2 linked regions of the Schizosaccharomyces pombe genome follow. The gene in region 2 interacts genetically with the main gene of each other region. Each region holds a gene or a part of one and is shown on either strand. Other genes may lie near its edges.

Region 1 (3,761 bases), on a different chromosome or scaffold from region 2:
GCGCACAATATAAAGTAAACTTTTTAATTAGTATGGTTCATACCTTATTTAAAAATGAATATTCATACCTTGAAAAACTCCAAGTTCAGGCCTGCCATTAAGAAGTTGGGTGTTGCCGTACTAGGGTTAAGCCTACTAAAATTGCAACGTCTTTATGCGAAGCATTTATACATAAGAAATTTCTCAAATGAATACACTCATAAATGAATTGAAAGCCACAAAATTAGTATTTAAAAAAGATAATTACTTATAAATATCTAAATCGACTATCAGGGTGATAATCTATAAAGACAACCTAAAGCTTAATTTAGCTAAGCATGACCACACTCATTAAAATGTGTGAAAAATAGATGATTATTAATGGAGAATATATTAACAGTAAAAGAAAAGTAACGTTTGAAAAACTCGTAAAAGATGTCAATTCGTTTTCGGACTAAATTAATTTAACTGCCCTAGCTTTCAGGTACAAATAATCCAGTGATTGCACAAGAATATATGAAAACCGCATTGAGCAAGAACCTATGTAAAAATGTCTCGCGCTGAATTATTTATAAATAGTTTCTTGAATTTTATCTAAAGCAAGAGCCTAAAACCTTCATTATATTAAAAAATGTAATAAAAGGCAAAATGTACTTTCATTGAGTGAAGCAAAAAAGAACAAGGAAGTAAGCCAGAAAACAAACAACAGATATGTTAAGTAAAAGCACAGTAAAACTACCTTATTAATCTCACCAACAAAAAAGTTGAGAGGTAGACAGATAAAAACGAAAATGTAGTTTAATCGAAGATATATATGCAGAAGAAAACTTTGATAATAATGCATACTAGGGGTGAAAAGCTAAACCAATCCATCGTATAAAGAAAGGGCTGACACGATAGTCGGATCACGTTTGGACCCTTCGCAGAATTCCTCAAGTGTCAGTTGCCCATCTTTGTTTTTATCCATCATATTGAAAATCTTGTTGACGCGCTAAAAAATTATTAGACATTATGCTCAACATACTAAATATTCAAACCTTTTCAGGAGTATCTTCATCCTCCGGTAACTTGACCATGCTACCAACCATTTTGTAGATAGCATCAACAATTCGTAGCATTTCGTCGTAAGAAATCAATCCATTATTATCAAGATCGTATAATTGAAATGCCCATATAAGTTTATCATTCAGTTCACCTCTCGAAGTCACACTTAAAGCACAAATGAATTCTTTAAAATCAATGTATCCATTTTTGTCAGCATCAAAAACATTAAATACATATTCAGCGAAAGCACTCGGATCACCGAATGGGAAAAATTGTTTATAGATTTTCTGAAATTCAGACTTATTCAAATGGCCAGAAGGGCAGTCTTTAAAAAACCCTGCATACTTGTTAGATTCAGCGTTAAACATTCAATTTAGCAGCAATTAAGAATCTTATTCAAATTGCAGAACCATGATGCGGATGTAAAATCAATTTTTTTAGGATAGCTGTCATACCTTTATACCATTGTTGCAATTCCTTTTTATCAACTTGGATTTGTTAGTATTGACTAGTTTTACAAAACGTACACCTTGTAGAACGAACTAAGTCTTGGAGTTGATCTTGAGACAATTTTGATTGTGATTTTCCCATCTTGAAGACAAGTTAATCTTTTCTCAGAGGATAGTTGGTTTAATTTATAATTTTTTTTAAGTAACTTGTCGGATATTAAAGTTGTTTAGCAATTAGCAGTAGTTGAAGTTGGGGAGGCGCAGGGTAAATTGAGTTGTCAATCGACAAGTTGTAACTAGTGTTAAATGGTATTAAAACAGTTCCTATTTGGCTCATTATAAAAGTAAATTCATCTTTTTTTAATTCTAAGATATGTAAATTTACGTATACATGTTTGGCAGAAATTTATTAGAAAATTTTTAAACTAGTGTATTCCAGATATATAACAATTTATGTGAATAATAAAATATGCAAGCTTTGTTGATACTTATGTGAACGAATATAAAAAAATATTTAAATAGTAAGCATAAAAAATGATTTTTTATAGATCACTGAAAACATCAAGTTGATGTTTTGAAAGTTCATTTGTACATTAGTTATTGATCTTGTAGTTTTACCTTTACCATCCTTTATTACAGTTCAGAAAATACATTTTTTATATTTTAAATCTATCTGTTTCAAAAATAAAAATATGAACAAAGTAGCTGGAATTTAACTACAATTGATTATCGATGGATATTGAGATTCCACTGCGCCGCTTGGTAAATTTATGTAAATTTTCATTTTTTACGCGTTGAAATAACTCACCACTGATTAAATAGTGCATTCTCTCATTATTCGGTTTCAAAACTATTGAATTGTCGTTGAAGCAAAGCTATTAATATCATTATGGATACCTACATGGAAGAAAGAGAAGCAGGTTGGTAATTATGTTTAACATTTCTTCGATTTTCTAATCATTTTCTTACTAATGTCTACAGGACGGTTGGAAATTTATTCCGTCAAGAGGAATGTCTTAAATATGTTTTCTATAGTAATTGTTTCTGCAACTTACTCTATTTCGCTCGATTCGACAGTTTTATATCCAGCAGTATATCATGCAATTGTCAATCAACCGATGCTAGGTGCTAGGATCCACAATTGTCATAGCAAAATTCCCATTGTAAAGAAGTTGAAAACAATAGACCTTGATAAGGTCGTTAAATATGCTGATGATCAGAAAGTTGATAGCTTCTGCAATAACGCTCTTCAAAATTTTAAGCTATGTTATGACGATGAGACACTTCCTCTTTGGATGGTCTATGTACTAAATGATAAGTCCGAATTAGTTTTTATATATGATCACTCCCTTTTCGACGGAGGAAGTGGCCCTTTGTTTCATAAATATGTTTTGGAAGGATTACAAATGTCCAAAACAAATTTTTCATCTTCAACCGTGCCAGTATCAGAATTACCACTTCCTAAAAATCTTGAAAAACTAATAGATGTTCATCCTTCATGGTTTTGTCTAATGAAAGCACTATGGACAAACTCTGGACTTCCGTTCTCTAAGGGCTTTCGGTCTCCTTCTTATAAAGGTCATGCTCCAGTGCGTCCATTTTCATCGCATACAATATTCTTTTCAATTTCTAATGCTGTTGTTAAAAACATCAAGCAACTCTCAAAAAACATAGACGCTTCTTTCACTTCGATTTTTTATTCTGTCTTTATGCTCAGTATATATTATGCTATTGCTAAAAATGGTAAAGTTAACCTAGATATGCTCATTGATGTGAATGCGCGCCGTTTTTTGCCCGTAGCCAAGCAAACCATGGGAAACTATGTGTTTTCTTACGTTCATCATCTAAACGGTTTTCAGCCAAGTCAGCGTCAGGAGGACTATAAACATACCATGGTAGATTTAGCAACTGAGTTTTCGCATCGATTAAAAGCAGCGCTTAGCAATCCTAGGGAGATGTCTCAACAAATTGGATTGCTAAGTTATATTGATATTGAAGACTACCTTTTAAAATCTTGTGAAAAAACTAGAGGAAATACGGCTGAAATATCTAATTTGGGGTATTTTAGCTTTCCCGCCGATTCGTCGGTAAAAATCAAGAATATGGCATTTGCACAACCTTGTTCCAGTCTTTCTGCACCTTTTGTACTAAATGTTATAACAGTAGCAGATGGTCCATGTTCGTTTTCCCTCTCTATTTTTGATGATGGGAACACCGAACAAACTCATGAGCTGGCTATAAAAATAAGGGATAAGTTTCTAAGTATTCTCGAAAAGGTTTCTATGAATT
Region 2 (3,433 bases):
TTCCGACAAGTTGAAAAAGACGGCGAAGCAAACCTATTTGTTCACTTATACAAATATATTAAAAAATAATTAAAATCTTTAATTTGTTAACTCGGTAAAATCGTTAAATTATCGCTAAATAAATTTATCGACCTTTATCAAATTTTCTTCATTCAATTTACGAGTTCTCAACCACCGTTTCGTTATAAATATTTGCGTATTCAACGTTAAAAACCGTAATTATCCTTCTTGCCTTTCCGGCCCAGTGGAAGTTCCAATGACGCCGCGGAAGGGCTGCACACCTCAGTAGCGAATATGGGGAAAGAGCAAATTCATGCTTGCCACGATGACTACCTGGATGCTTGATGTAGGTGACGTGTTACTTAAGATGAAAATGTAAATACAAGAGAAGAAATGGGTCAAGAAGGCGATTAATGGATGAAAAGAGAAATTATTCATAGAAAAATTTTTCCTTAAATATGCGCTTTTATTAATCTTTCGTTTAGGTTTTTTTCTCTCGTAAATTAATTCAGATATAGGTATTTAATCAACATTGCCAATTTCAACAAGTTTTAGGGGTTACGTGCAATAGTTTTATTGTTCTATTGTTTTTTAATTCTTCTCTCAATCCTAACTCTTGAAATTTTGTCGTACAAGACATTTTTCGCATTTCGTCAAGTTAAATTTTATGTTAAACTAGAGTTATTTGCGAATTAGGCTAATGAGCAGAAACCACTTGAATATACAAAATTTTATTTATTTATTTATTTATTTATTTTTTTTAAAAAAAGAGTAAATGGTAATTAATCTACTAGAAGCGTAAAAAGAATTGTTCAATACTTCAAAAAGAAAAATATGTATATCATATATCAAACCAGATTAGCAATCAATGCCAATAGCTTTATTCATTGAAAAAATAAAAAAAATAAAGAACGGTTATAGATGAGTCAATTAATTTCGTACTTTAACGTTAGTTGGTTTATTTCGTTTTTGTACAACATTATTTACTTTTTTAAATACTTAGTTCCTGCTTATCATAATGAATATAGCTAGCTTCATTAGTTAAAATTATTAGTATAGTTTTCGAAATTGTAAACGCTACTATAGTTTCTTTTTTCTGTAATTTCCTAAATTGCTTCAAAACAGCATTTGCAATGCAGCACATTCTCAATTAAGAGCAGTTGTAAGCAAAGAGCAATGAGAAATCTTTCAAATTAGATAAAATGAAGTACAGTAAGATCCACATATTCAACAAAGCTATCCTTTCCCTTTAGTGTCTCTGTTGCTATCACTTATATACGAAAGCATGGCATTGGAAGCGTAAAATGAATCATTAATTTTGCAGATGTAGTTTTCTGGGATCAGGAAATAAAAAATTTAAGAAATTTCAAAAGAACTTGAGAAGAAATTGATGAACTAGTTGGTCTGTAGGCAAAAGATCAATGATACCAAATTGTTTCCTTGATAAAAGTCCCATTGCCAAACAAGAGTATAAGTTAAAAGAAAGTAAAGAAATAAGGAAAAATATAAATTGATGATACAACTATACTATCAAACTATTCTTTGCAATTGTCAGTTTTAAAGTTGAAACCTATTTCCTGTAGGATAGACAAACGAGGAAGCAAAAAATACCAATAAAAATGTTTATGATTTTCAACTAGTTATGTATAATTTGAAAATCACTTTAAATTGACTCTCTATTGAAATCACCGCCATGTCAGTTTCAACTCTGATCAAAGATCTCATGAACTAAGGATTGCATTTGACATTTGGAGTTACCAGGTAAAAGAAGAGGAAAATTTTGGTAAAAGGTTGAACCGTTTTGTCTACGATCTGTTGGTCCATTCGATTTCCCAGCATATACCTCTTCTTGTCCAAACCACGAAACGTAACCTTTAATATTCATGTCTCAATCTTTTCTACTATAATTAAACTCACGTATAGGATTGACTATACAACATCAATCTCCAAGCTGTGATAACGAGTATTTTCCATCTGATCCCAACCAACCTTTTAGGAATATTTATCCTTTCCAAAGCAAACCAAATCATTTCTTTTCGAAATTTGATTTTTTTAACAAAAAGTGTTAAGATCGTAAAAATAACAAATGCCTCCATCTACAGTTAATCAAGAAGTCAATTCTATCCTATTCATCAAGAACTTGTCTTTTAAAATTACAGCAGAAGAGATGTACGATCTTTTTGGTAGGTATGGTCCTGTACGACAAATAAGGCTGGGGAATACGGTTCAAACAAGAGGTACTGCATTTGTGGTTTATGAAAACGTTCAAGACGCTCGTCGAGCTTGCGAAAAGCTTTCTGGCTACAACTTCATGGATAGATACTTGGTTGGTACGTTATCTTAGGGAATGTATTAGCTACTATTAATTTTAATTTCTCCTTTCTAACGGCTTTTTAATATCTTCTTGTTAACTTTTTTTTTAGTGCATTATTATAACCCTGAAAGAGCTAAGGTTGATGGTCAAGATTTGGCAGCAAGGTATGCCGCCTTGGAACAAGTTAAGCAAAAATACGGTGTTCAGTGAACGTTTACTATTTATTTACCAAAAAAAAACAAACAAATTAGGAGTCTGATATTGACTCCATTAACGTGTAATAGATTTCCTCTTTCTATAAATTCTGTTGAAGAGAACATACAGCAGAAAAATGAATCGGCTCATATTAAACAATCGTTTACTAGTGTTTCGAACCTAGGTATAAAAAAGGTACTATAAGGACTTGAATTTTATTATATTTCGCTTAAAGCTTTTTAGTAATAATAATGTAATGCATTGATCTATAATATAACAACGTCTACATGTAGTATTAAGATTTGAATCCCTAATAAAACGTATCCAAATTTGCCCAACCGTATTTCCCAATTAATAATTTTATCTGGCACAAACTTCAAATCATAATGAGCTAGTTTCCAAAGTCCAACCCTTCCAGCTTCATTACCAACACATAACTCACCACCCTTACCAAAAGCTAGGCATGTAACTCTGCCTAAAGGCGTAGCGCTGGTGGGCCAATTACGGAACACACTAAAGCTGGGAACATGAACGAGTCGTAGAGTATCCTTCTTTCCTCGAGATGCGATAGCTAAAACTTGACTATCTTGAGAAAAGCTCATACTATTTATGCTGAAAGTAATATTATCCAATGTAGTGACAGGTTTTGGTGCAGCGTCCGCATTGGATGTCTGGAGGTCATATATATTAACAATACCACTCTTGCTACCAATTGCCAAATACTTATTAGATGGGTCCAAACAAAAATGAGTGGTAGATACACCATCTTGAACTTGCCAACGACGAACGACTGAACGTTGCTCAACATTAAAATGCCATACCTCCGCACCATAACTAAGCACCAACATTTCCGACCCGTCAGAAGTGAACAAAACGTCGGAAAGTACACCTTCAATTTTAAAGCTTGTAGCAAACTGACCAGTA

The links. A genetic interaction does not mean that the proteins touch.
Region 1: mutations in sap14 (region 2) and SPOM_SPAC18B11.03C together harm fitness more than expected from each alone (negative genetic interaction), as found in Schizosaccharomyces pombe (one large-scale study listed by BioGRID).

The regions. Positions count from the first base shown.
Region 1 is NC_003424.3:309,821-313,581, forward strand, and holds the start of SPOM_SPAC18B11.03C (N-acetyltransferase), read left to right. Parts: upstream 1-2,088; 5' UTR 2,089-2,361; coding exon 2,362-2,392; intron 2,393-2,394; exon of another isoform or gene 2,395-2,453; coding exon 2,454-3,761. Other genes in the region: ncs1 (calcium-binding protein), read right to left, coding at 839-970, 1,017-1,360, 1,479-1,511, 1,551-1,614.
Region 2 is NC_003423.3:2,049,349-2,052,781, reverse strand, and holds sap14 (Pre-mRNA branch site p14-like protein), read left to right. Parts: upstream 1-2,013; 5' UTR 2,014-2,086; coding exon 2,087-2,330; exon of another isoform or gene 2,331-2,423; coding exon 2,424-2,524; 3' UTR 2,525-2,785; downstream 2,786-3,433.